4 linked regions of the Arabidopsis thaliana genome follow. The protein of the gene in region 1 interacts with the protein of each later gene in a pairwise test. Each region holds a gene or a part of one and is shown in the gene's direction. Other genes may lie near its edges. The genes, in order: AT1G22630, AT4G01920, AT1G27030 and AT4G22250.

Evidence for each region.
Region 2: the proteins of AT1G22630 (region 1) and AT4G01920 interact in a two-hybrid assay, tested with the Arabidopsis thaliana proteins (one large-scale study listed by BioGRID).
Region 3: the proteins of AT1G22630 (region 1) and AT1G27030 interact in a two-hybrid assay, tested with the Arabidopsis thaliana proteins (one large-scale study listed by BioGRID).
Region 4: the proteins of AT1G22630 (region 1) and AT4G22250 interact in a two-hybrid assay, tested with the Arabidopsis thaliana proteins (one large-scale study listed by BioGRID).

Annotation. Positions count from the first base shown.
Region 1 is NC_003070.9:8,001,354-8,008,202, forward strand, and holds AT1G22630 (SSUH2-like protein), read left to right. Parts: upstream 1-1,869; 5' UTR 1,870-2,133; coding exon 2,134-2,271; intron 2,272-2,363; coding exon 2,364-2,423; intron 2,424-2,573; coding exon 2,574-2,620; intron 2,621-2,726; coding exon 2,727-2,814; 3' UTR 2,815-2,951; downstream 2,952-6,849. Other genes in the region: ATSAC1 (Phosphoinositide phosphatase family protein), read right to left, coding at 154-230, 308-530, 657-822, 912-1,116, 1,303-1,434; MYB3 (myb domain protein 3), read left to right, coding at 4,936-5,068, 5,146-5,275, 5,356-5,866.
Region 2 is NC_003075.7:826,689-834,996, reverse strand, and holds AT4G01920 (Cysteine/Histidine-rich C1 domain family protein), read left to right. Parts: upstream 1-3,708; 5' UTR 3,709-3,917; coding exon 3,918-5,894; 3' UTR 5,895-6,171; downstream 6,172-8,308. Other genes in the region: AT4G01925 (Cysteine/Histidine-rich C1 domain family protein), read left to right, coding at 695-1,431, 1,719-1,824; AT4G01915 (uncharacterized protein), read right to left, coding at 6,700-6,785, 6,869-6,924, 7,367-7,399, 7,478-7,623.
Region 3 is NC_003070.9:9,378,382-9,386,497, forward strand, and holds AT1G27030 (uncharacterized protein), read left to right. Parts: upstream 1-3,145; 5' UTR 3,146-3,460; coding exon 3,461-3,499; intron 3,500-3,575; coding exon 3,576-3,728; intron 3,729-3,819; coding exon 3,820-4,038; intron 4,039-4,126; coding exon 4,127-4,242; intron 4,243-4,718; coding exon 4,719-4,882; intron 4,883-4,989; coding exon 4,990-5,144; intron 5,145-5,244; coding exon 5,245-5,331; 3' UTR 5,332-5,679; downstream 5,680-8,116. Other genes in the region: AT1G27020 (plant/protein), read left to right, coding at 254-292, 370-522, 956-1,174, 1,265-1,380, 1,477-1,640, 1,732-1,886, 1,958-2,038.
Region 4 is NC_003075.7:11,764,733-11,771,671, reverse strand, and holds AT4G22250 (RING/U-box superfamily protein), read left to right. Parts: upstream 1-3,108; 5' UTR 3,109-3,342; coding exon 3,343-3,987; 3' UTR 3,988-4,217; downstream 4,218-6,939. Other genes in the region: IM (Alternative oxidase family protein), read left to right, coding at 1-18, 401-516, 604-712, 804-872, 1,040-1,111, 1,213-1,260, 1,497-1,705; AT4G22240 (Plastid-lipid associated protein PAP / fibrillin family protein), read left to right, coding at 4,445-4,866, 4,987-5,182, 5,268-5,582.

The DNA of each region.
Region 1 (6,849 bases):
AAACTGGTCTAGAAAAGGTCACATCACTAATTATATTCACCCTAACCAAAGTTCCTAAAGATAAAAGGTATAACTAAGAAAGGGCATCAGAAAATCGAAACGGTCACCATGAATTTGTCATACATTAGAGGCCTGATAAGAAAGAATTCTTACCGTGTGCCTGCAAAATGTCGAGAACGTCTGGAGACTAAAGTAACACTGAAGTCTCTTCCATATATTGATAGTCTTATCTGAATGATGGGGAAAGTTAGTTAGAACCATTTTAACTCCTGGCATCAAACATAGGATTGAAGCCCTAAGACAATACCTGCTTAAAGTGCCCATGAACTAATGCCAGTGTCCAAATAGTGTTGTTGCACCTTGATCGAATAGGCTGCGTCAGATACGAATTCCATACGAATATGTTATCATAAGGCATCCCTTCCTCACCAGATGATAGAACATTCTTTTGCAAGCTTTGCATTATAGGGTAAGTGTAACTGTAGAAGAAATCTTTTGTCAAATCTACACTTGACAGAAGCTTCTTGTACCTGCAAATAAAGGAAAGATACAAAGAACTTTGTGAAATAATATATGGTGCAATAAGAATTTAAAAGTGGGAATAGCTAGCTTCACTCAAACTTCAGAAAGGGAAATCAAAATTCCTAGATACAGACCTTAGTTCAGTTTTGGAATTCGCAACATCAGATTGAATAGTTGCATGTGGAACACTGATCATTTGACTTTCATCAATAGCATATATCGCATGCCCGCATATACATCCAATCTGTCGCCGTTTTGTAACCAAAACTAAATAGTATGACTCCATAAACTTAGCACAACCTACAAGGCACAAATTTTACTCAACTTAGCTCACTACACAAGATCCAAAATATACAAACAAGACAAGCATTGCTTCCCCAAAGACTAACCAGCAATTCCATAGACTTTGGCCACAAAAGCCAATCCTCCCGTGGCACGATTGCCTTCAGCGATACGCTGAAGCAGACTCTTGATCTCTTGAGGCGAATATACAACAGGATCTTCACTAATATTAAGCTCAGATGGCTCTGAACGATCAATCTTCAACACTCTGAAGAATCTTTTATTCCTATCACTCCCTACTAGATAAAACCTCTGCACAAAGAAAATTATATGACAAGCAATTCAATCTAGGGTTCCCTTAACGATTCCAATCATTCCAACACACATTTTTCGCATTAGAGAGTGCCTAAGCGATGGTGAAATCAAATGAGAAACGTTTGATGCAATCTTCCTCATTAGTCTTTAGAATCAACAATTTCTGAATCGGTTTAAGCTTACCGCTCTGGTTTCGTAGAGTTTGAATTTCTCGAGGGCATACGAATCGGGATCGGACTCTGCATCGTTGGACGGTTGAATCTTGTTGGCGAAAGAAGAGAAAGTCGAAGTCGTTGAGTTTTCCGATTTCGCCATATTGGATCAATCTATCTATCTGGAGAAACGATCAAACACTCTGAAGCCGGCGATGGTTTCAGGCGATCATTTTGCGATCGGAAAAGTGTTCGGAAGATAAGGGGTGTTTTCGTACTTTTCTATTTTAGGATCGTGTTCATTGAATTAATTATCCTTTGTCCCTTTCTTTATCTTTTTGAACTAATATCTTACTCTTAAATTAAAATTGGATAAATTTATAAGAAAATATATTATTCTTAATTTATAAAATTTGATACATTGTAAAAAGAAAAATTAACATATTCAGAATTCAGATTTACATTTTGCATGCATAAAGTAATATTTACTTGAATGTATACTGTTTAGATATTTTGATTAAAAAATGATTGTTAAGCTCTTAATTGTTTATGCTTTTTACTGTTTTAAAATAAAGAATTAAATTGTGATTGATATTGTTTATTAGTTAGGTAAAAATTATAATTTAATTTGTTTCAATGGATATTTGTAGGGTCTTTTGGCTTCTTTCACTTATGTATTTTAAGTCAATAATCCTTGTCAACATATTCCCTCCACATGATCCGTTTCAATATCCACAAACCACAACCAAGCAAATTCTTTAGCTTTCTCACACCATCCATATTCACTATCACTTGTATGCATAGATATGCATATAGATGTACATAGATATCTTACTTCCTAGTTCTAATTTGAGTTACAAAAATGTTGAAATTTCCACTTTGTTGCAGTGAGTTATCTTTAGAACCGAAGATTCTAGCTTTTGAAAGTCAGCTTGTTTCGGGGCGACGCGATACAATCAAAGTTTCTGCGGGAAAAATCGGAAATTTCTCTCTTGGTTCGGTAAGATTTCACTATACATCCATATACAATATGATATGTTATCATCGTCAATGAAGAGTTTTGTTAATTCTTCAAAAGGTTTATATAAACAGATATTCAAAAGTTGTGAGACTTGTGGAGCCAAAGGAGCAATTGAATGTCCCGGTTGCAAGGTACTAATTTGATTTTCATTACTAGATACTATGTAATAAACTAATACCTTTAGTGTATGATCAATCTTTTCCAGACCATACCTATTCATTTTACTCTTTCTTACTCTATATTTATGCATATACTAGACAAAATTCTCTTGTTGTCTACAGGGAACAGGTAAAAATAAGAAGAACGGAAATATGTTTGAGAGGTGGAAGTAAGTAATAACTAACAATGTCACATGGTTCTCAAATATCAATCTAAAAATTTACAGTTCAATGAGTACTTAAGGAGAGTTAATTTGGGATTTTGAATATGTGCAGATGTTTTGATTGTCAAGGATTTGGTATGAAGAGTTGTCCTAAATGTGGCAAGGGAGGCTTGACGCCTGAACAGAGAGGGGAACGATAGACTTATACTATTTGTTTTTCCTACATAAGTTAATTTTGTGATACAAACATGTCTCTATTCCTATAACATTTCAGTCGTATAATTTGCATGTAAAAATAAAAATCATTAATAAATTATATTTTCGCTAGAATATTACAAAGCGTTTAGAAATGAGAAAGTGATATTAACAAAGTAAAAAAAAAAATGATATATTGTTAAGAACACATAAAATAGTCACACTTTCTGCTTACAAAACGGAAATGTAACTTTTAGTTGGCTTTTAACACGAAATATTAAGTTTTAGTTGCGCTTCGGACGTTATGTTTTTTTGAATCGTGTTTTCGCCATGTTCTTTTGTGCATAGGGAACCTTCGATTCCAATTCCATATCGATCAGTGTACCTCCGAAGAACCTTTCTTTGAACGTCGTAGTTCATGTTAGCCAATAGTCAGGAAGACTCAGAAGGTAGAAGTGTTGTACAACAATGTTTGGCATTTGGCGTAGCGTGATGAAATTAGAAGCTTGTTTGCGGTTAGCCATGTTGGGCTTTGCAAGTAATGGCCCATGACCAATACAATGCTATGAACAAAAGGCCCATCCGCTCATGACTCTTCTTATGTTTCTTTCTTAATTAAGCATAGATTACTAGCTTATGACAAAACATTGAAGATTGAACAGTAGTTAAATTACGTTGAATAGTAGTTAGATTGTACGGGGTTTTCTATATAAGAAAAAATGTTTACGATTGAGAAAGAAAAACAGAACTATAATAAACTTATGAAATTAAGCTTTAGATAGAATTACATCACTGTTGTAAAATTCAACTCCTCTTTAAATATTGAAAAGAATTCTGATAACTTCTGCAAAAGTGCAAAGGACTAAAATACGTATGGGGCGTGTGAGACAAAAACATTTAACATTTATACGATTCTATGCGACTAATTTATCTAATCGCCTGTTATAGCGACGTTATTCCAATTTCCAAGAAAAATCATCCCAATGTTGATTGATACCATTTAAGTACCTTACAAGTTACTAGTAAATTCATTTTAAAAATGTATTCTTTAATTGGACCGTCGTTACAATGTGAAATCCGAAAATAAAATATAAAAAAAAACTTAAGAGACACAACAGTAGAAGAAGGACCAAGTACACATGCCCAAACCCAATAATTCAGTTATCCAACTAATCTAAATAATATTCATGTTTTTATAATTGAAGAGACAAAGGAGAGAGGAATGTGATAAAATCATAAGAAAGGACACGTGGAGGTACGTGAAGGAAGTAGCGTGTGGAGAGAGTGATTGGAGAAGAGAGAGATGAAAAAAGACAGCTACCTACTCATCTTCCCAATCTATCTACCTACTTTCTCCCAGATCTACTTTTTTTTTGTTCTTTTTAACATTTTCCCAAAATTAGGTTTAAGTACTTTTTTTTGTTAATAATGCAGTAAACAATTGTTTAATTCAATAATGCAAAAAAAATTGGTTTAATTTTCCGCTAAACAAATTTATTGATATTAAAACGAGTTTACAAAATCGTTACAGAAACTAAGAAGTAAATTTGATGATGTTAAAAACACTTTATTCACTAACTGATTAGTGATTACTTAAACCGTTATTTAGTTATTTTCTCTTTTATAATCGATCTTTTTATACGAAAGTTACGCGTGACTATATTTTTTTATATGCAATAAGAATGGTTAAAAACAGTACATGTTGCAATGAATTGTGGAATTTGTAAAATGATTATGATATTTTTTTTGAGCAGATGAGATGATTCTAAAGAGCCAAAAAGTCAATAACCAAAACCGTACGATCTACATCTCAGAAAACAAAAAACAAAAAAAGTTAGGAAACTCCACCCACGTTCCTCCTGTGAGTGTACTACAATCAAATTTGTGTTTTCTGGTTGGTGTTACAATATTCTTTAGGCACAAAAAAACGAACACATCATTTCATTTGTTAGATACATTTTTATTTTTAACTTTGGTATTAAAATAATGTTAGGTAGTTATTATAAATAACATTCAAAACGAAAACACCATCCTACAGGAACTCTCTTCCTTGCAAAAAAAATAAAACACTATTTCCTCCAAATACACGTAGAGAGATACATATATACATATAGAGATCAACAAAGATGGGAAGATCACCATGCTGCGAGAAAGCTCACATGAACAAAGGAGCTTGGACTAAAGAAGAAGATCAGCTTCTTGTTGATTACATCCGTAAACACGGTGAAGGTTGCTGGCGATCTCTCCCTCGCGCCGCTGGTACTTATTCATACATCCTCTGTTTCTTTATATTTACAGAGAGGTAAAGATTTGATTTTTGATTGAACTTTGTGCAGGATTACAAAGATGTGGTAAGAGTTGTAGATTGAGATGGATGAATTATCTAAGACCAGATCTCAAAAGAGGCAATTTTACTGAAGAAGAAGATGAACTCATCATCAAGCTCCATAGCTTGCTCGGTAACAAGTTAGTCTCTTTCTCTCACACTTTTTTAAGAATATGATTATATTTGTGAAAGATTCTGAAACTTTGTGTTGTTGTTATAGATGGTCTTTAATAGCTGGGAGATTACCAGGAAGAACAGATAACGAGATCAAGAACTATTGGAACACTCATATCAAGAGGAAGCTTCTCAGCCGTGGGATTGATCCAAACTCTCACCGTCTGATCAACGAATCCGTCGTGTCTCCGTCGTCTCTTCAAAACGATGTCGTTGAGACTATACATCTTGATTTCTCTGGACCGGTTAAACCGGAACCGGTGCGTGAAGAGATTGGTATGGTTAATAATTGTGAGAGTAGTGGAACGACGTCGGAGAAGGATTATGGGAACGAGGAAGATTGGGTGTTGAATTTGGAACTCTCTGTTGGACCGAGTTATCGGTACGAGTCGACTCGGAAAGTGAGTGTTGTTGACTCGGCTGAGTCGACTCGACGGTGGGGTTCCGAGTTGTTTGGAGCTCATGAGAGTGATGCGGTGTGTTTGTGTTGTCGGATTGGGTTGTTTCGTAATGAGTCGTGTCGGAATTGTCGGGTTTCTGATGTTAGAACTCATTAGAGAGTCAATCGAGAATTCTTTAGGAATCTTTTTATATATTTAGATCGTCAATTGTGTTTTTTTTTTGTTCACATTTGTTATGTAACATCAAGTAAGAAACTAGCATAATTATTTGATGGCAAAGCCAAAAGATTGTGCTCAAAGAAATTTATAAAAACAACAATTAGGGCATGTTGTACTTGCAGATGCTAAAAAACGGTAATTTTTATAAATGTTATAATTTCATAATCTAGCAAACTAATTAATTTAATACTACATTTTATTTGTGATTAATCTTGTTATATGATATACGTCATATGTTTTAAGAGTTTTTTTTGGTTTCAAATTTCTATGTAGAATTAATGTTTTCATTTTTTAATTTACGTATGTCAATTAAATTCAGTGAAATGTAAATTTTAATGAAATTACCAAATTCAAGCGATGAAATCATGAAATCACATTTTTTTGCGTCACAAATAGTTTCTGAAAATATGTAATAATTCCAAGCCATGTAACTTAAAAATGTGGAGACAATATATAATTCGATGTCAAATTTCACCTATTTGAAGTGTTCCTATTAATTAGATTATACTATTGAATGAGTCATTTCAAGCAGATAATACGCAGAGCAACTTTGATGCAGACGTTAAAACCATACCTAAATGATGTTTGGTTTGGTGTCGTCACTTTTTGTATGTGCTTTTTAGTTCTTGCCTATTTTTTTGGCTATTCGCATGTCTTCTCTTCATTTTTTTTTGATTTTAACATACTAATCCACTTACATTTTGAATTTCAAATAACCTAACCTACAACCTTTACAAGTATTTTAGGAATTCAAAGAAAAATTTGAAAATGACATAACATAACTTTTTGTTTTGGTGAAACAGCTATTTAATTGATCACTTTGGTTCCATACAACTACTTCATTGATCACTTCAGTGGCATAGAAGATATCAACTGACAAGTAATGCCAATGAAGATATTAAATTTTGACCAGTTAAGTT
Region 2 (8,308 bases), on another chromosome or scaffold:
TTAAAGAACATCAAAAGTGAAATTGAAAAACTAATGGGGGAGATCAAGCTCATAAATGATGTACACCTAAAGAATTAAAAATTGACTATATTCTTACAAGTTATTAATGATTAAGTTATATTGTCAGTATGACAGTAAGTATCATACCCATAAAAATTATATTTATTGATAATGAAGAGTATACCAAGCAATTCAAAAGTCTAATATAATGATTAATGTTATTAAGCATTGTTGAGATTAACAAGAGAAGACTTTTGACTTTTGAGAGAGAAAGAAACACGAAAGAACCATAGCTTTGCGATTTCAGATCTAACCTTCTTCTTCTTCTTCTTCTTCTTCCAAATATCTTGTAGTATACGACCATGGCTTCTGAGGGAGTGTCACTACCGTTGATCCATGATCTGAAGAAAGGTGATTGCTCTGGACGCCTGAAATGTGTCGACCATGCTTGTGACTCTATCGTACACCCATTGCACCCCATTCACTCTCTTCGGCTTCTAACTAAACCAGGTCGTGACTGTGATTTATGTAAAAGGGAAATCAAAGGTCTAGGCTATCATTGTGAGACATGTGGATTTGACGTGGATTTATATTGTGCCATGTACCCACCGCCAGAGGTTATTGACATGTCCGAGACGCATCCCCACAAGCTCACCATCGTTAAGGAGCGGATCGAGTTCGATTGTGACGATAAATGTGGGAGGAATGTGAATTACATTTCCATGTGGATTGTGTATGGCACCCAACGGAGTTAAAACACCCTTTGGAGGTAAACCATCCTTACCATGCCTTACACCCTCTTAAGCTCTTAACTGCTAGATTTCCGGATTATTCTGATGGAAAATGTCGTCTTTGTGGAAGTAAGATTGATGATAGGTTGTTTTATCATTGTTCTTCTTGTAACTTCACCTTGGGTTTGTGTTGTGTTTTACGCCCACCACAACCGTCTCTTCTGAACTTGAAAGCTCATGATCACCAACTCACTCTTCTCCCAAGACTCGATTCTTTTACATGTAATGCTTGCGGGCTGAAGGGAGATCGAAGCCCTTACATATGTTTTCAATGTGGTTTCATGATCCATCAAGATTGTCTTGGCCCTCCACGCCTCATAAACATCAATCGGCATGATCACCGTGTTGTTCGCACTTCTGTTCTTGGTGTCGTGAACTCTGTATGTGGAGTATGTCGTCAGAAGGTGGACTGGACTTGTGGAGGTTTTTCTTGTCAGAGGTGCCCCGATTATGTCGCTCATTCGAAATGTGCTACCAGAGAAGATGTATGGAACGGAGAAGAACTCGAAGGAGTACCTGAAGAAATAGAAGATATAGAGCCATATGTGGTAATAGATGACAATACAATACAGCATTTCAGCCACAAAGAGCATTACCTAAGGCTCCACGATAATGGTCTTCTTTGTGACGACAACAAGCGGTGTAGGCCATGCACCCATCCCATCTGTCTCCAGTCCTTCTATGGTTGTATGGATTGTGACTTTATTCTCCACAAAAATTGCGCTGGATTTCTTAGAATGAAATGGCATGTGCTACACAATGAGCGTCTTACTTTAGTTACTACACGTGTAAAGACCACCGAGCTAGTTTACATACAATGTGTGTGCTCGGAAAATTTTTAGGGCTCATGCCAAAAAGCACATTAAGGCGTTGGAGCAGATCATATAAGGTTGTGCTCAATAATAGTGTATCTCGTCCATTTTGCAGCTGTTGTGAGTTGCGTTGCATTTTTCCTATCATCTTGAAGAGACTTGGAGCCTCACAAAAATACTGTTGCTCTCCTTATTGCGCTAATGCAATGAGTGTGAATTAAGATGTCTAGCGAGTGGGGTTTCCTTAAAGATTTCCTGTAACCATTTCTTTCACAAGTTCATTTCCATTATAAGTTGATTTCCTTAATGTATTATTTATCTAAGAATCTTGCAATTTTAGTTTGATACGATCTTGCTGTTTCAAATGCTTTCTGACATTCGTTTTCTACAAAATTTCACCTTGAAAATGAACAACACAATACTATCAGTCTTGCATTATCATGATTGTCAGCTTTTCGCTTCTTTCTCAACGTATTGTATAGTCTGTTTCAGGATCATTAGAAATAGTAAGAAAGTAAACCATTGTTGCAAGAAATCTTGGCAATGGCGTCTTCAAACAATTGTTGTTTCAGATTACTAACATAAAAACAGGGACTTCAGTTTTTATTAGGAACAGAGTTCCGATGTCTGAGAACCAGGACAGATGTTTTCTGCATAATTCATTTACAGTTAAAAACACATCTTGATTGATTCAACATGAAACCAAACACAGACTCCATTCATTATTATTCGCAGAATCTAGAGACCGAAATGAAAATGTTTTATCAACATGTACACACGTTTTAAGGCAAGCCAAGATTTGTGTCTTTCTTTTGAAAAGAAAAAAAAAAGAAATTAGATCTAAGAAACTTGCAATTTTAATTTGATATGATCAGCTGTTTCAAACAATTATGCCTTGTCTTTGGAATGAAGGATCTTTACTTACGCCGTTGTATTGAACATAATGCCAACTACTGGTTATTGCGCTATGTAATGCATATGAATCAAGATGTCCAGAGAGTGGGCTTTTCTTTTAGATTTCTTGTACCATTTCTTTTACATGTTCATTTCCATTATAATAAGTTGATTTCCTTCATGTATTATTTATCTATGAATGTTGCAATTTTGACTTTGACGATCTAGCTGTTTCAAACGTTAATATGAATATTAATTCCAAGATCTAGTGAATTAAAAAATAATTGAGATATCCAGCTCATAAAAAAATAGTTCAGAGTTTAAAAATGGATCCGAATCCAATGTTTTTAGATTTCTTTCATTTTCATTTTTTATATAAATAGTGCTAATTGATACGACTAAAGAATTAAAAATTGACTATTTTAAACTAGTGGTTCATTTTAATAAAATAATACTAATGATTGATATTGTAAAACTATTTTTCCGTTTACTTTTAAATAAGGTTTTGTGCTAACTCATCCATTTTGCAACTTTATTTTCTACCTCCAATAAATGCAGATTATTTTTATGAAGTCTAAAATAATACAAAATATGATCTTTATATATATATATATATTGTAAACGTTTTTACGGTTATATACATTAGATTTTTAAAATTTTGAAGGTAAAGTTAAATTCTTCTTCGCGAAAGTTTTAATTTAACATATTATTATCGATATTTTACAAAATTGTTGGTAACAAAAAAAAAGGCAAAAGAGGGTTATAATGCATATTATTTTATATTGTTAATGATTAATCTGTATTTGATGGAGGTAGAGGTTGAAGTTGCAAAAATGGATGAGGTATAGTGGTTTTTGCACAAAACCCTTAAAATACTTTAAAGATAATAATTTATTTTTTTGTATATCTAAGTTAAGTAATTGTAAATAAATATTAAACATTGTAACTAAAAATAAATAAATAAACATAATAAATAGAATGAATCATTTACTTGAGAGTTAGAAGATACATCAAAATGATAATCATAGAAAAAAACACCAAAACGATTGTTTATAAAATTAATTCAGTTGATGTAAATTATTAATTATTATAACTAACAAAATGCATGAAAAAACCGGCACGGTGCGGGTTTTGGGCCTAATTATTTTTTATTGTTAATGAAAGACCAATAAAACCAAAAGTCTAATAAAAAAATAATTTTGTAAGGGCATCGTTGAGGATTTGAGATTAACGCAGAGAAGACTTTTGAGAGAGAAAGGAGCTTAGCTTTGAGATTTCAGATCCAATCTTCTTTTTCATAAGAGCATCGTTGAAATTAAAGAGAGAAGACTTTTGAGAGAGAGAGAGAAACGTGAAAGAAACTTAGCTTTGAGATTTCATATCCAACTTCTTCTTCTTCAAAATCTCTTAGTAAACGACCATGGATTCTAAGGGAGTGTTAATGCCGTTGATCCACGAGCATCTTATGATGCCTTGGAAAAATCTGAAAAGAGGTCCTTGCTGTGGTTGCTGTGGACGCTTTGAAGCTATCAGTGATGGATACTACTGCAAAACCTGCGATTTTTTCGTCCGAAAAAATTGTGCTGACGAGCCCTCCGAATATATCAAGCATCCATCTCACCCCAAGCACACTCTTCAGCTGCTAAGACCTGAAAGACCTACTAATTTCTGCAATTTGTGTGGAAGGATGTGCCCAATATTCTATCGTTGTGATCTATGTGACTTCGACATGGATTTATACTGCTCAAAGTATCCACCACCAGAGGTTATTGACATTTCCAAGACGCATCACCACAGGCTTACCCTTCTCAAGAAGTGGATCAAGCAATGTATATGTGCTAAATGTTGCAAGATTATTGGTAATGAGTTTCCTTACAATTGTCATGAATGTGATTTATCCTTTCATGTGGATTGCGTATGGTATCCGCCCGAACTAGAACTCCGTTTAGAGGTAAACCATTCTTACCACTCTTTACACCCTCTTAAACTCTACGCAAAGGGTCAGTTACCGGATTATTCTGATGGGAAATGTCGTCTTTGCGCAAGAAAGATTGATGAAACATTTTTTTTCCATTGTTCTCCGTGTAACTTTACCTTGGACAAGGTTTGTGTTTTGCGCCCACCACAACAATCTCTTCTGAATTTGAAAGCTCATGATCACCAACTCACCCTTCTCCCAAAACTCGATTCTTTTACATGCAATGCTTGCGGGCTGAAGGGAGATCGTAGCCCTTACGTATGTTTTCAATGTGGTTTCATGATCCATCAAGACTGTCTTGGCCTTCCACGCCTCATCAACATTAACCGGCATGATCACCGTGTTTCTCGAACTTCTGTTCTTGGTGTTGTGAATTCTGTATGTGGAGTTTGTCGCAAAAAGGTGGACTGGTCTTATGGAGGTTTTTCTTGTCAGAGGTGTCATGGCTATGTTGTTCATTCAAAATGTGCTACTAGAAAAGATGTGTGGAATGGGAAAGAACTTGAAGGATTACCCGAAGAAACAGAAGATATAGAGCCATATGTGGTGATAGATGAAAACACAATACAACATTTTAGTCACAAAGAGCATTACCTAAGACTCAACGTTAATGGTGTTCTATGTGATGACAACAAGCGGTGCAAGGCATGCACCCATCCCATCTGTCTCCAGTCTTTCTACGGCTGTATGGATTGTAACTTCATTCTCCACCAAAACTGCGCTGGATTTCTTAGAATGAAATGGCATGTGCTACACAATGAACGTCTTACGTTGGTTACAAACAAGGATGAAGGCTTTAGGTGTTATGCTTGTGATAGATTGTCCAATGGTTTCAAGTACCAGCATGGGAATAAGGCATTCGATGTTCGGTGCATTTCAATTTCTGAGCCACATATCCATCCAAGTCATCCTAATCATCCCTTATATTACTTTCCATCAGACGAAGTACAATGGTGCACTGGTTGCAACATGGAGCAGGACTTTGTGCTTAGTTGCATTGAAGATAATTGTGGATTTTTATTATGCTTTGGATGCGCCACTTTACCACAAATGGTAAAGCATAGAGTTCATGATCATCCTCTCTCACTATGCTATGGCGAAAAGGCAAGTGGTAAATATTGGTGTGACATTTGTGAAAAAGAAACAAATCCACATACATGGTTCTATACGTGTAAAGATCATCAGGCTAGTTTGCATACAAAGTGTGTGCTTGGAGACCTTTCAAGTCTCATGCGAAGAAGCACAATAAAAATTGAGGGCACTTCATATGAGGTGGTGCTCAATAATAGTATATCTCGTCCATTTTGCAGCTGGTGTAAGATGCATTGTATTTTTCCTATCATCTTGAAGACACTTGGAGCCACGAATGAATACTCCTGCTCTCTTGAATGTGCAGAGTGTAGATATACAGACCGTTAAAGCCCAAAATGAAGCAAGATGTTTAGCGAGTCGAGGTTTTTCTTGTAATGTTATTTTTTTTCTTTCTTACGAGTTCATTTCCTTTATAAGTTGATTTCCTTAATGTATTAAATATCTAAGAATTTTCTGGCACCAAACTCCATATACAATGTGTGTGTTGTAACATATATCATATGAGGTGGTGCTCAATAATAGTTTATCTCGTCCATTTTGCATCTGGTGTGAGTTGCGTTGCATTTTTCCTATCATCTTGAAGATACTTGGACCCTCGGATGTTTAGCGAGTAGGCTTTTCTTTTAGATTTCTTGTACCATTTCTTTTACAAATTCATTTCCATTCTAAGAAGTTGATTTAATGGTACTTATGGCATGTATTAGTTATCTAAGAATCTTGGAATTTTAATTTGATATGATCAGCTGTTTCAAACGTGTTATGCCTTGTCTTTGGAATGAAGGATCTTACTTACGCCGTTGTATAGAACATTCTGCCATGCTACTGGTTATGGAGGTACCATTGAACGCTAATGTTTCAGATGGGATGCCATAGAAATTCACCCAACTGATCAAAGAGAACTTCTTAACTCAAGAATGTTGTGTCATCATCATTCCCACCAGTACTAAGATTGACATTTTTTGAAGAGCAAACTATAACCATGATAGACATTCAAGAAGATTCCCTAAGCATAATGTCAATGTGCATTCTGTTTCAGATCATTAGTAATAAAGTAAACCCTTGTTGCAAGAAGTCTTGGGCAATGGCGTCTTCAAAGCATACACATGACTGTTTCTTTCAGATCATCTGGTATTCAGAAACTACAATGCTTTGAAGACGCCATTGTAGCAAGTTCTGTGTGTAGACGAAGTAGCACGTTGTCGTCCACGTAACCAATCCCTTCACCAGAAAACAAAACAAAAAGAAACAGAGTATTCATGTGTATGTTTTTGTTTGAATATGTCTGTATAAACACTTATTACCTGGCCAAAGATCTCTATGTTTGCTTCTGGATATATAGTACCACAGATGGAAGAATCTGTTAAGCCAGGTTATGACAATCTTTAGACTGACTTCTGATAAAAAACAAAGAGATGGTTGTTGAAGCGCGCAGTTTACTTACTGCATTATGAAGATTTCGGCTAAAGGACAGGCGACACCAAGGAGAGTGGCAATGGTGAAGCCAATCCAAGTTTATCCAAAGAGAACCAAATAAATTCTGCTAAGGCAAATAGAATGTAAGCTTCTATGTTGTCTGAAACTCCAGCTTTGTAGATTTCAGAACTTAGCTCTAAGAACAACACCAGTGCTCTGTTTCATTCACCAAACCATATAGAGTTTCACTTCCACTGTCCCCAAAATAGTTATACTTCTACACAACAATACATACTCACAAGAGCGAAATTATGGTTTTGTCACAGGTTGCAACGTGGAGGCTTTATAGAGGTTCTATCATCCAAGAGGAGTTGTAGTAAACATACTGTACAGTAAAATAAGCCAAGCAAGAACGGGACCTGAAAAAACACACCTTACAAGATCAAAAACAGAATGTTTTTATGAAGGATTCTTAAAGTTGTGGATTTTAATCTTACCCAGATGTTTGTATGAAGAGGACCGATTTGAAAAGCTCCGTTTTGGTAAACAACGAGATCAACACGTGAGTCAGTGGAGACCATCGAGAAGAGGACCCACGAAGAAGCCTGAACCAAAAAGCGAGAGGTTTACTGGGACGATCCATGATTTTCCGGTGCCAGTTTTGCTCTGCCTCCTCTGGCTCAAGCAGACGATTTTTCAAACCGGTGACCGGTTTTGCCCATTTTGTTTTAATGGTCTTATGAGAGTCGTTGAAGGAGGAGATATCGCTAAGACTAACATCTTCCAACCAATATCATCCATACAAAAAAAAATGAAGGACCTGTTTAAATAAACAAACCGAATTGAACTGACTCTAACCGAAATGAAATTTCTCAAACCGAAACATAACCAAAACTAAACCGATATCTCAGAAGGTACATGAATGCCTTGGTATAAGAAAACGAGTGGGAGTTTTCTTATTGAGATTTTCTATCAATATTAATTCCAAAATTTAACGTACATCAAAAGTGAAGTTGAAAAAATAATGGGGGAGATGAAGCTCATAAATGGATCATGCCGATTGGTATACATCTAAAGAATTAAAAATTGACTATTTATTACAAGTGGTTAATGATGATTAGTTATATTGTCACTATCATAAAACTATATTCATTGTTAATGAAAGACCAAACAATTCAAAAGTTTAATATAATGATTAATATTACAAGAGCATCGTTGAGATTATCGAGAGAAGACTTTTGAGTTTTGAGAGAGAAAGAAACGTGAAAGGAGCATAGCTTTGCGATTTCAGATCCAACCTCTTATTCTTCCAAATCTCGTAGTATACG
Region 3 (8,116 bases), 1.4 Mb from region 1:
ACAAATTTGACCAAAATGAAGATATGATAATGTTTCCAAAATTCTCGATGCAAGTAGTTCGCTCAATTATTTGATAAGAATGATTTCCCCACTAGCTCAATAAAAAACAATTAATCCTTGTACGCAAGTTATCATAGTGAAGCATTGACACTGTGACCCTTGGCATTATAAATTACGAATTTAAGATAAAGAAGAGAAGAATCAAGCAAAAGTTGTGTTTCTCATAAAGATCTCAAAGATATTCCTACTACACATGGGTTCTCTTGACTTGCCTTACGCTTCATCGTTCAAGGTTTTTTTCTCAGTTTATATTTATAAAAATCAAATGAATTACTCATCACTATAACACACTAATTATGTTGTTATCAGGGAGGAAGTGAAACCTTTCTCCAGAATGTATTTGAAAGTATACTGAAAACGTATTTGAGGAAGAACCCGATGGCGAAGACGATATGGGAACTAGTTAAGTCGGTGGACAACGAAAAGATCTCTTACGACCACTTCTTTTTCAGGACATTTAAGGTATGAATTTACTCTTCAAAAATTTGGTGAAATTGTGTGCAGGAGGATCTAAAACCTTAACAAATTGGTCAAATATATTGATTAGCAAGTTCTTTGCAAATACGATTATAGTAAATCTACCTATTTAACAATTAAAAAAGTGGTTTTATACTTTTAATTGATGCCTTTGCAAATATATACTTTTCTTCAAGCTCATCTTGTAATCCTTGAGATCTTCTAACATTAACGGCATCAATTAAAAGTATAAGCGCTAAATGGTTTTAATTTTATACTTTTATGTCAGCAATTTTTGAGACCTGTTTTTTCTATTTTACCAGTGTATTTGTTAGTGGGCTCAAATTTTTTAATTTTTCTTTAGGCCCGAAATACTTGGGGCCGGCCTGATTGTATAAATTGATTTTTTCTTTTTTGCTTTGGGGGTGTATGGGTTTAGGTCGATGGTTATGGAATTGATTCCCTGGCGAGTTTTTTCATGGATTATGGATATAAAGTTGGAGGCAGACTTGATTTTCCAAAGAAGAAAGTACAAGTTCTCTGGCTTTCTCCTCCGGATGTTCACTTCCCCGATAATGGTTACGGTATTGGCAATGGCCCTTTGCCAAGACTTGTTATAGCTGAGCTTCTTGTGGAGGAACTAAGCCCTGAGTCACAGGTATTAGTGATCACAAACATAATGTTGTTATAATGAGTCTTTAATAATACATAATAACTTTTTTGTTGGTCCTAATTTCTGGTTAACTAGGAGATAATAAGGAAGTATTTGAAACCGGAAGGTGGTAAGCAAGCTGTTCTTTCAAGTACTTTGGGGTCTTTAATTTGGGAGAAGCCAACATCCACCGATTTCAATCAACTTGCCAAGTATATGTTCTAAGTTTATAATCAATAATCACACAGTATCTTTGATGGTTAGCTAATTTAATTTTTGAGTTTTGTAAATTTTTATAAATGATGAAGAGAAAGCGAATTTGCCGCATGGACGCTTGTCTACGGCTACACAATGAACCATCTTGCTTTCGCGGTTCATCGTCTTAAACACCGTTTCAGCGACATCAAATGCGTCAAAGAGTATTTTGAAGAAAACGGTTTCGAACTCAACAAGGATGGAGGAGTCCTCAAAGGTTTTCTTTACTTATTCTTCACATGACATCTTTCATTTAGATTGGTTCTATTCTATAACCATTATTTAAGTTGTATGGAAAAATATTTCAGTGAGTGAAGACAGTCTACTGTTACAAGTGTCGGCTATGTCGGAGAAACTTGTGGTTGAATTTGCAGACGGAGTAACTCAAATCGTCCCGGCTTCATACATTGAGTTCGTTGAACGTCTAGTTCTTCCACAGTTCAAAGATATGCCGTGTGATGAGGTAAGAAGCAATTCACATTAATCGAATTCTTTTATAATTAGACATTTTTATATATTTCCGTTGTAATGCAGATCAAAGAGTTTCATAGACGCGAGGGCTTGGAGCAAGCTAGCGCCTACCACATAATGGAAAGCACCCGTTTCACAGCGTAAATATAGAACCAGCTTGTTTTGTTCCGCTCAATATGTCAAGTATGTGTACGTACTATTAAAATGTTTTGTATCTTATTTGGACAATTTGTGTGTGAGATATTTCTGTTCTTGTGTTGTGAAGTGACGGTATAACTTAATATTACCCGTTACCGACGAATAATGGAAAACAAAGTGTCATGGTGGGGTGTGGTATTTGTGGTGTTTTTGCATGTAATATCTTTTGATAGTAACGTGACACTTGATTTTGGTGACTCGTAACACCTCTTGGGGTTGAAGACCAACGTGCCCAATCTTTCATTTACCTTAGTGTCTTCTTCTTTTTGCATTATTGGATTTTGGTGTTTCACGTAGAGAAACTGACATCACATTGTCTTTTGTTAGTTTTTTTTTGTGTTGTTAACCTTAAGTGTTTTTACGTAGTTAATATATCTTAGAGAACTTAACCTTTTCATTTAGCTATTATTCGTTTATAATTATAGTTTGGATCTAAATTAGTCTAACAGTTGTATTATGTGTTTTAGACCATCGCATTCCTCGATCTTAACCAAATATCTTAACAATTATTTACAATAAAATTTTGAAACATGACATGTAACTGTTTTTTCACTCATAAAAACCTCTTAGCTAAGAAGCAAGTCTTTAATTTTTAATTTGTTTTGATTTATTTTTCAGAATTTAATTTTAAGATATTAGTCTAAGATACATTTAAGATACATCATTGAAGATGGTCTACTAATTAGTAGCTTAGCAATTTCCAAAGTTGGTTTAAGGATCAACTTTTTGTATCATTTTATATTAGTGATCAAAATAGTTACATACCAAAAATTATTTATTTCATTTAATATAGTTTTTACCCCCCACTAGCTCTGGAAAAGTCCAATTATATTCTTGTCGTTAGCAATCATTGATCCTTGGCTTTTTTTCCCACTCTTTCTAGCTGTATAAAATACGAATTTACGATAAGATATTAGAAAAACCAAACAAAGCTGTGTTTCTCTCGTACACTTAAAGCATCGTCCCGCAACGGTTCTCTTGACTTGCCAAACGTTTCATAATTAAATTTTTTCTCTAATTATGATTTACAAAAACAAAAATCACGATAATCCATGATCTAACTATAAGAGGGAGTAAGAGAAACATTTCACTTGGTTTTTCTTACTGAGTACTGATATAAATAAATATAGAATCAGACAAAGATTCGTTTGCTGAACGATTTTATATAAATTTAGTCCTTACCTGCGCAGCTAATCATCGTGAGCGGAGCGACTATGCGTCAAGAAAAAAAAACTAAAATACTAATAATTAAGTGACTCCTTCTCTCTCCTTTTTTTTGGGGTATGCACCAACCTTTATTTATAAGTATAAGCAAGAATAAATAAGAACAACAAAGCAAACGGCTCATTTCTCAGAAACAACTCAAACATGGGTTCCTTCGACTTGCCTCACAGTTCATCGTTCAAGGTTCTTTCTCAAATTTATATTTTTTTTGAAGGAGAAATATCTTTTGTTACGATAATACACAATCTGCATCTAACAGGGAGAAAGTGAAATATTTCTTCGGAATGTGTTCGAGAATATATTGAAAACGTACCTAAGGAAGAACCCGACGGCGAAGACAATATGGGAACTGGTTCAGTCGTTGGACAACGAAAAGATCTGCTACGACCACTTCACTTTCAGGACACTAAAGGTAATAATTTTACTCTTCAAGATTTGGTGAAACTAATTGTTTAAATTATTATTTTGTTTTTACTTTTTTTTCTTTGGGGTTATGAGTTTAGGTCGATGGTTATGGAATAGACTCCTTGTCGAGTTTTTTCATGGCTTATGGATATAAAATTGGTGGTGGACTTGATTTTCCCAAGAAGAAACTACGAGTTCTTTGGTTTTCTCCACCTGATGTTCACGTTCCTAATGATGGTCACGGTCTAGGCAACGGCCCTTTGCCGCGACTTGTTATAGCTGAGGTTCTTGTGGACGAACTAAGCCCTGAATCACAGGTATATATGTTGATCGCAGACACAAAAATTTCATTATGAGTTTTTAACATATCTAATTTCGCTTTTGTTGGTCCTATATATTGATTAGGGGATAATAAGGAAGTATTTGAAACAAGAAGGTGGCAAGCAAGCGGTTCTTTCTAGTACTTTGGGGTCTTTAATATGGGAGAAGCCTACATGGACCGACTTCAAGCAGCTTGCCAAGTATATATATTAACTTTCAATTAATAGTCATATATCTTTACTTGATAAATTTCAGAAAAGTAATTCATTCTATCAAAATCTAACAGCTAGCTAATTGTAAATACATTAATTTATTTTAAATAAATAAAAATGAATACTCTTACACGAACTATACTGTATTACTCTACTAGTACATATTTAGTAACTAACTATTTATTAAATAAGATTTTGGGTGATAGGTTCGATGGTATTAAGGACAAGTTTTGATGAACAAGTACAAAAAAATGGTAGTTTCTAACAAAGCTTTGAGAAATTGATAGATCAGCACTTAAACAGAAAAAAAAATGATAGATGAACACTATTTTTTTCTGAAATGTTTATAAAAAAAGAAGAAGAAGTAAGAATTGAGTTTTGTTTTTGTTTTTAAATTTTTTTATTTTATAACTATTTTAATGGTTAGAGCTAATTATTTGGAATTGTATGTATGAATGATGCAGAGAAAGCGAATTTGCGGCATGGACGCTTATCCACGGCTACACAATGAATCATCTTGCTTTTGCGGTTCATCGATTCAAACATCGTTTCAGTGACATCAAATTCGTCAAACAGCGTCTTGAGGAAAAGGGATTCAAACTCAACAGTGACGGAGAAATCCTCAAAGGTTTTTTAATACTTATATTCCCATCATGAGTTACTTTCTTGAAACGTTTCTATTTAAATATGTTGTTCAATAGAAATGATTAATGAATGTGGACATACATATTGCAGTGAGTCAAGATGGTCTACTATTTCAAGTTTCATCGATCTCGGAAAGGCTTCCGGTAACATTTGCAGATGGAGTAACTGAAACAATCCCAGCTTCATACATTGAATTCACTCAGCGTCAAGTTCTTCCAGAGTTCAAAGATGTGCCGCTTGATGAGGTAATTGATGTAAGAAAGAATCGCGAAATAAATGATTTGCATTTTTTCGCATTATTTTGTTTATTCAGAATTTTTTTCATTGCCATGCACTGTGATGCAGATCAAAGAATTTCATAGACGTGAAGCTTTTGAACTCGATAACGCCAACCACGTAATGGAAAGCACCCGTTTCACAACTAAATTCTAGAACCAGACTTGTCTTGCTCGACTTAGTATATGCCAAATTTGTGCAACTATATATGTGAGTGTGTGTTTGTGTGCAATCTTTCCATATATATGCATGTGTGTATTTGCGATATCTTTATGTTGTTATTTTACTGTGAAGGGACAATGTAAGCATATGTTATCTCTCATGATGGTAATTGTTGATTAGAGTGACCAACTTGTAAAATGGATCACATGATTGACGAATCATGGGAAATAAAATGTATTTTGTGATTGAAATATGTGATATTTGTGAAGTTTTCGTCTCTCTCTTAAAATAATTTTTATGGGTGTGATTGAGTGTATGTTTGCTATAAATAGGGGATTTACTTGGACAATTTTAAAACATTAACCCATATTTGTTAGTATACAAGTTTTTAGTATCTTGTAGAGATATGGTATAACTGTTTTTTTTGCAGCTATAAGATGCACTAGATTTTAACTCGCGGTACACCGTGGGGACAATTTATTTTTTAAAGTTAGTATATATAAAAATTTATAAATTGTATCTATCTATAAAATATTTTTATTTTATAGTTTACAACTGTTATTAAGTAACGTCCTGCCAAACCCGTCCCGCAAAACCCATCCTGCAAAAAAAACTATTTATTTTATTAATGTTGATCTTATTTATGAATCATTGTCTAAATATTTTAGTCGATGCGGGATGTTGAACCCACACATTTTTCGCCAATTGGTTAATATATGTTCATTTTTAAAATTTTGAATCACAAAATATGACGGAATTTTTTTTGAGATTTTTTAAACTATATATTATATAATGATGTTAAATTTTTTGATATATTAAACTTTTTATAAGTTTAAATATTAATAATGTTTTATAAAGTTTAAATATATAAATAATAATATTTAAAAAAATATATATTTTTTGCCTTTTAGGTAATGACATAATAACTCTAAAAGCAAATATTTAGAAGATTTAAATCGTTAATTAAATATTTTTATTTCTAAATAATTAATGTCAATAGCATGACATTGTAAATAAGTTCAAATACAAGATTTATTTATTTAAACAAAAAACGTTTAATAAGAATAATATTTATTTAAACAAAAAATTTTGTTTTAAAATATTGTTAACAAATACGTTTATGCTAATTTTAAGGGATTAATGTGAAGTTTGTTTGGATTAAATTTGATTGATAATGTGATTGACAATTTAAATTAAGAATTTAAAGTAAAATTAATTATATTGGAAAACAATTAATGCTAATGGCATTGGGTTGTAAATAAGTCCAACTCTAAGATTTATTTGTTAAAATGGCTGCAAAAATGTATATATAGATGTTATATTATATCACCTTACTTTTGCTGAATATCTTAATTCTACATTCTTTATATTCCACATTTTTTTTTTACAGAAAATGTAAAGTTATAATTAGACATCTTTTACAATGAATTTTGTTTTACAATGAATGTTTCATATTGAGCTTAGTGTTCTTAGGAGAAAATTTTAAAAATCAACCACAAAACAAATTAGACGTTGAGACGAGATTACGGATTCCTATGACGCCGATATGGTATTTGCGCTCTTCCAAAATCGACATCTTTTTAATCTCCCTTTTCTATTGTTTGTTTACTCACGAATATTATTGTTTTCAATGTCGACGTGTACAAATCCAAAATCACCTCTGCTCTCGCTTAATATGCCAAGTTTCACCTACCGTTTATTATGACGTGTTTCTTGTATAAAGGCAAAAAATGTAATCTAAAGATATTGAGAAACAAGTTGTATTAGTTTCCTTAAAAAAAAAAAAAAAAAAAAAGAGTTATATTGGTTACCGACTGTTTCTCAGTTAGATTGATTCGTTCCGTTCCAATATATATTTTTTTAAAATTCGGGTGGTAGTATAATACTTTGGTTAATTGATGTTAAGTTTACAAGATTCCAGAAAACCGAGTTAGGTTAGGTGAAAACCAAGACCTCGTGTATCATGTTTTTTGTTTTTGTTTGTTTGTTAATAAATTCACAAAAAAAGTTCATTATCTGATAAATAAAAAGATTCGTTGAATGATTTTAAATAATTGAGCACATCATGTCCAATAAATATATATCTATCTCGTGTATAATATTTAATTAATGTTCTTTTGTTAATAATTAATAAAAGAATTCTATTATCTTATAAAATTCAAAAAAAAAAAAAAAGATTCGTTCACTGATTGATATAAGTAATCCCATACTGTCCAGTAAAATATATTTATTTTGTGCATATTTTTTTAAAAAGTGTATAAGTTTCAGGTAAACAATCGGAGCAGACGGTTCGGATTGAGCATAAAAATACTAAAATTATGACATATATTTTAAATTTTTTATAATAGAGTATTACTTATTTTTGCAAAACAGAATTACTTTTAAAGACAAATTTTTTGATCTAATAGATATATTAATATCTAAACGAATTCGGATAGACATTATGTAAAAGATGAGTGTTTGACACTAATTATCGACTAATTGAAAAATCATAATAATGAATTGATGCTTATGTTATCTAGTTTTTATTTTTATTAAATAATAAACTAAAACAATCATTATAAAATCATACTTTAGTCTTACTTTATCGATTCAGAAAAGCAAGTATGATTAATAAAACGAAGGTTTATCAAGTTTTTTGTGTATATGTGTGTTTTTAGGTAATATTTTCAGACTACAGAGTGTATCTTTATGTTGTTTGTTTAAGTATCTTTTCTGTTATTTTTATTTTCTTGTGAATTAAGAATTACCAAATTATATATCTTCCAATGGATTATGA
Region 4 (6,939 bases), on another chromosome or scaffold:
CTAGAGTGCCTTATTTTGGTAAGTGCATCTATTTGTAATTGTAGTTTCAGTTCGTTATAATATTTGCAAGAAACATTGAGCAGAGCATTAAGAGCTAGTCATTAGGTTTTGTATTCTTCAGAAGACAGTAAGATTGTGAACATCACTTGAGATGTGTGCAGAAGAAGAACAATGACGAAATAGTTGTGTTTGAGGAATATGTACTCTTTCTTATCTCATTAGAAGCATAGTTCAACTCTTAACAACAAAAGGCGATTCAGTCATCGAGATATTGGATTTGTTGAGAATCGAATCTTGTTTTTTTTAGTGTGTTTATCACTAATTATGGATCTGGATACCAAATGAAAAGTTGTTCCGAGGCTAGAACATAATGTTTGTTTCTTCTATATGCTCCTTGCAGCGTTTATGTCTGTGCTACATATGTATGAGACCTTTGGTTGGTGGAGGAGAGCAGATTATTTGAAAGTACACTTTGCTGAGAGCTGGAATGAAATGCATCACTTGCTCATAATGGAAGTAAGAACCAAAATGTTACTTCTCTACAAGTTTCATACTCTTTACTCACATAGTTAGTAATAGTAAAACAAATGTTTCTAATCACAGGAATTGGGTGGAAATTCTTGGTGGTTTGATCGTTTTCTGGCTCAGCACATAGCAACCTTCTACTACTTCATGACAGTGTTCTTGTATATCTTAAGCCCTAGAATGGCATGTAAGTTTCCTTTCCGCGTAACTTCTAGAAAGTAGCTGAATAAATTGCTTCTGGTCTACATGACTTCGTTAACCTTGTGTCACCTATGCAGATCACTTTTCGGAATGTGTGGAGAGTCATGCATATGAGACTTATGATAAATTTCTCAAGGCCAGTGGAGGTTGGTTACCAATGGTTTTTTCTTCTTTCTCCACCATTCTGTGTACCATTTACATTAGAACTAAAGTTGTTAATGGAGTTATTGCTTTGAAATATTACACAAAATTCTTCAACGATCTTTACATTCTGAATTGTTGTGCTTCATTTTTTTTTGGTTTCCCTAAACAGAGGAGTTGAAGAATATGCCTGCACCGGATATCGCAGTAAAATACTATACGGGAGGTGACTTGTACTTATTTGGTGAGTTTGTCTTTCCAGGAATTATCAATATCCTCCAGAGTTGTAGAGATGTTTTTACCTATGATTAGTAGTCTTTTAAACTGGCCCTGTATTGTCTGCAGATGAGTTCCAAACATCAAGAACTCCCAATACTCGAAGACCAGTAATAGGTAGCAAATCTATTTCATATCCGTTTAGTTCTTTCCATCTCTGATTCCGTCGAACCACAAAATGCTAAAAAAAAGTTTATGATTTATCCATGGTTATGATTCTGCGCTCTATAAATGACTGAGATTCTGTCTTATGTTTGTATGGAGGAAGCATTATTCACAGTTTGTGACTTACTTTGATGTTAAAATAAGAATCTATATAACGTTTTTGTTGTTTTGTGATTACGGTTGGGCAGAAAATCTATACGATGTGTTTGTGAACATAAGAGATGATGAAGCAGAACACTGCAAGACAATGAGAGCTTGTCAGACTCTAGGCAGTCTGCGTTCTCCACACTCCATTTTAGAAGATGATGATACTGAAGAAGAATCAGGGTGTGTTGTTCCTGAGGAGGCTCATTGCGAAGGTATTGTAGACTGCCTCAAGAAATCCATTACAAGTTAATAAATTAGAAAGTAAACTAAAAAAGATTATTTGTATCAGCTCATGAACAATAGATATAATCCCATATACTTGGGAATAAAGGAATAATGTGAAATTCCCATCGTTGTGCTAGTGTGTGAGAGAATCAAATACCCTAATGATGTAAATGTACTTTGATGAGCTTAAGTCGTTGTAGACCATTTTATCCATACTACTAGCCTTTGTGGTTGCATTGTCGGTTTCTTCAATTCTTATTTCACAGGAGTAAAAAAAATGTTTAAAAGTACAAAATCATTGAATGTATCATTCTCTCAAAAAGCATATTGGTATTAGCGTTTAGAATCTCTATATCCCACACTTTTATTTTTATTGGTTTTGTTGGGGAGAGTGTGGCGCAAAGACGACGTCGTCTATGCGAACATTTCACGTGGGAAAAGCCTTGATTCATGCGCCTTCTTTAATTTTTCTTCTTTTTTTTTTTTTTTTTTTGTCTCTTCTTTGCCTTTCACTTTTTAAAATGATTTTCCGCGGGTTTAATAACAAAAATGTTTTCCCGCCAGAAAGGTTTTACCAAAAAACCATGTTCCGGTTATAGCACAGGTAAGAGAATTCATCAGTCTAGTATAATTAGCAGTAATCAAATTCGAATACTTTGATCGTCGCTTTTATTTCAGAGTTAGCGTTACATTAATAGTACCTTTATTCGATTGATGATTTGTTTAATCTTTAATAGGGTTTGAACTCCGATGGAGGACCTTTTTTGTTGGTAATATTCCCTTCGTTTCACAATATAAGTTGTTTTAACTAAAAATACGTATATTAAGAATATTTATTTTTAAAATGTTCAACCAATTATAAAAAAAACTGTAGAATATAAATAATCATAAAGTATTAAAATAATATATAATTTGCATAGAAACTTGAAAACAACTTATATTATAAAACAAAAAATTTGGTATAAAACAACTTATATTATGAAACGGAGGGAGTATAAACTTAAGTACTAATTCGATTTTGTTTCTATTCGAGACCTTGAAGACTTTTTTATTTAATTTTAAAACTAAGTCGTACAGTTACAGAAACAGCATTAAATTTTTCCTCTTAAGTAAATTTATTTTTTCTCTTTCTATCAGAAATTCAGAAGAACTAACATTATAGTTGCCCCCATTGCGTACACTGTACATCATTTCTCGGTAAATTACACATAATTATAAGTTGATTAACCTTTTAAGTTTTAAACAATGATGTAAGTAACTTATTAAAAATTGGTTTTTAAAAATTGAAAGTTATATACTCAAGTTGGAAAAATATTTTACAAATATACTCGATTCCACTACTACTGTAATTTTGTGTGGAATACCAGTCAAACAGAATCGTTATAACTGTTAAAAATTAGTAAAACTGTATAAAGTAATTTTAATTCGCGGGAAATCAATATTCGGAAGCAACTTTAACAAAAAAAATAAAGAAATGTGAAGAGAAAAAAAAAACTCTGAAAACTTCCTTTATAATGTCATCATCACTGCGAGACCCAAAGATCTAAACAGTTTCTCTCTCTCCCTCACAGGGCTCTCTCATGGCGGAGCTAATCTGTCTATTTCACTGGTGATTCTGTTTCACTATCTGAGAATTTGTTTAGAGTTTCCGTTACCGAGTCGATGATGAGTGAACTCGATCTCGGAACGAGTCAGAGGATGACGGAAACACACCGCACGACGACGACGTTTCTTGATTTGCTCCGACGACAGATGAGCGGTCACGATCTCACCAGAAGGAAACGGACGTTAAAAGAACGGTTGAGATTCAAATGCATCGGATGCTGTGGTCCAACCTGGAATCTCCGTCTAACTAACAACACCACTCTTCACAGTCCAACCTCAAGAGACGACGAAATCGAAGAGTTACAAATTGAAACCGGACTCGTTCTCGAATCGGATCATGGATCGGGTACGGGTATGAATCTCGCGACAGCGTTAGAAGCGGAGAGGTATAACCGTGGAGAATCGACGGAGGCGGAGGCAGATATGACGCCGAGGAGAGTTTCGTTGATGAGATTGTTGGAAGAGACGGCGGAGAAAATCGTTGATGACGACGGGAAAGAAACGGAGATATTAACGGCGTCTATTGGGACGTTAACGGGTAATGATTCGGTGTGTTGCGTGTGTATGGGAAGAAAGAAAGGCGCTGCGTTTATTCCATGTGGTCATACTTTTTGCAGAGTGTGCTCTAGAGAATTGTGGCTGAACCGTGGATCGTGTCCTCTTTGTAACCGTCCGATCATTGAGATACTCGATATTTTCTGAAAACGATCGGACGGCTAAAAGTTCTCGATCCACGTGAGTAAGTGAGGTGATCCCTAGATACGTTTCCAAAGTTTTAACTACGGTTTGTGTACTTTGTACGTTTCTTTTGGTTATTGAAGAAGATGATGTAAATGCAAAAAAGAATACAAGAGGTTTTTTGTTCACGAGGCCCATTTAGTCTATTCAAGCCCAGTAAACCGTTATTTTGGATTTTATCTAGCCTAAACAATGCTCGCCTCACACCGTCGAGTGGATTCTTGGCCGTTGATCTTGTCTCTCACGTGGCAGTATCGTAGTCGAATGTACATGATCTATGTGGAATAGTCGATATTATCCCTCTTGGTGTGAGTTTGGTAGTTGATGAAAGCAAAACATTTACGTAACAATGTCTATAAAATCAGTACAGGTCTATTCTTGTTCACTAGCTTCGAAATTTTAGTCGAAGAAACAAAAAAAAATGGCGACGGTACAATTGTCCACCCAATTTAGCTGCCAAACCAGAGTTTCAATCTCACCGAACTCTAAATCTATCTCCAAGCCTCCGTTTCTGGTACCGGTGACCTCAATTATTCACCGCCCGATGATCTCCACCGGAGGAATCGCTGTTTCCCCCCGTAGAGTTTTCAAAGTCCGAGCCACAGATACGGGAGAGATAGGATCAGCTCTATTGGCGGCGGAGGAAGCAATTGAAGACGTGGAAGAGACGGAGCGGCTAAAGAGATCGCTCGTGGATTCGTTGTACGGAACAGATCGAGGTTTAAGCGCATCGAGCGAAACCAGAGCTGAAATCGGAGATCTAATCACACAGCTCGAGTCTAAGAACCCTACTCCAGCTCCGACGGAAGCTCTTTTCCTTCTCAACGGCAAATGGATCCTCGCGTAAGTTTTTTTCCGGTGAAAACTTTCTCTTGTAGTCCTGTAGATAGCATCATTCGTAGGATTCTGGATTCAAATGGTAGATCTCGTGCTGCTTTTGATTTGGTTAAACCTCTTTTGCAGCTACACATCGTTCGTGAATTTGTTCCCGTTGCTATCACGAGGAATCGTACCGTTAATAAAAGTCGATGAGATCTCTCAAACCATTGATTCAGATAACTTCACCGTCCAGAACTCTGTTCGTTTCGCTGGTCCTTTAGGTACAAACTCGATTAGCACCAACGCTAAATTCGAAATCCGAAGCCCTAAACGCGTCCAGGTAAATTGACCATTCATCGACCATGATCTGATATCAACATCTTGAAACGTTTTCAGTAATGTTTTGGATTTCATTTTTCTTGCAGATTAAGTTTGAGCAAGGCGTAATTGGGACGCCTCAGCTAACGGATTCTATTGAGATACCGGAATATGTAGAGGTTCTTGGTCAAAAGATTGATCTTAACCCGATCAGAGGGTTACTTACCTCGGTGCAAGACACAGCCTCGTCTGTGGCTAGAACCATATCAAGCCAACCACCGTTGAAATTCTCTTTGCCGGCGGACAATGCGCAGTCTTGGCTACTCACGACTTATCTAGACAAAGACATTCGGATCTCTAGAGGAGACGGTGGAAGTGTCTTTGTGCTTATCAAAGAAGGAAGCCCTCTCTTGAATCCTTGAACTTGGTCAAAATATATGTCTCTCTCTTGTCGTTGTGTTAAGTGAGACAAATATATAGTGTGGTTGTAGGTTTACTTCTTAATCGTTGTTATTAACTCGATGATAAGGAATATAATGTTTTTAACTACTACAGAACATCTCGTCTATGGCCTATGAAATGTGTCTCAGATTTTCACAAAATTCAAGTGTTTTAGAATTTCATTCTCTTCTGTTTGATTTAGAAAGTAAACTATGTACCGATGCAAGAGTTACATGAGAATTATCCCGGCAACGTCGGGTCTTTCGATAAGAATCGAGATGATGACTGTCATTTTGTTGTCTAATTGGTTCACTCTGTGCTTGATGCCTATCATTTTTTTTTTGAGGGACTCAGTCACTGGAAATGGTTCTATTAGTATGGTATGGGATACTTGTTAGTATAGTACTCGAGGTTTCTAGCATATGCCATAGAGTTTCTCAATATCTGAAGCCCTATTTTGAATGTGTTTGTTCTTTCTGTAATTTATTTAGAGACCATCAGGTAAAGGAAAAACTCAATTCAGACAAGAACATAAGAAACCTAAATTGACCAAATTTCTCATATAACTGAAAGTTTGAAACTGTGTTTTGTTATGTACAGTTTGGTGGAGGGTTTGATGCGGAGAGCATGAATCAGAGCCAAAACTGAAAGTGGAGGAGACAATAATAATGATAACAATGAAGAATAATCTGTAAACTGAGTTTTATTACTTTCTTTTTCTTCTATGTCTCTCTTTATCATTGTAGCACATATTTGCTATATAGGATTTGAATGGTTGCAACGGTTAAGGCGGACAAATTCGTTTGCGGTTTGAACTGTTTTTTATTTATCATTCATATTTGTATAGGTGCGAATTTAAAAAAGAAAAAAAAAACCACTGCAGATTAACTACGGACTGTTTTTACATACAAATATAATTAGTTCGTAACGGTTTATTGCCCATTTTAAAAATAGAGCGGACTAAATCGCTGACGTATTTGTCCGCTCTAACTACCGTTAGTAATAATATAGTTTGTTGTCAAAAATACATTCTTTTGTTTAGGTTTGCAGATGATTTTTTTTATTTTCTATTACTATATTTTAGTCTTTTAGATGATAAATTCGCAATAAATTTGTAATCTGCCAAACTACTGAAAAAAGAGAAAATAATTGTGGTTTGTCTTAAAAGTCACTTGTTTTAAGACATATCATGTGCAGCCATGCAAAGTGTATCTCCCGAATCTTCTTCACTCATTAATGTTTTACAGTATTTTTATAAATTTTATCATGTTAAGTACAAAATAAAAATAAGAATGGTCCATTAGAATTACAGCATATAACAACAAGGACTAGTTCTCT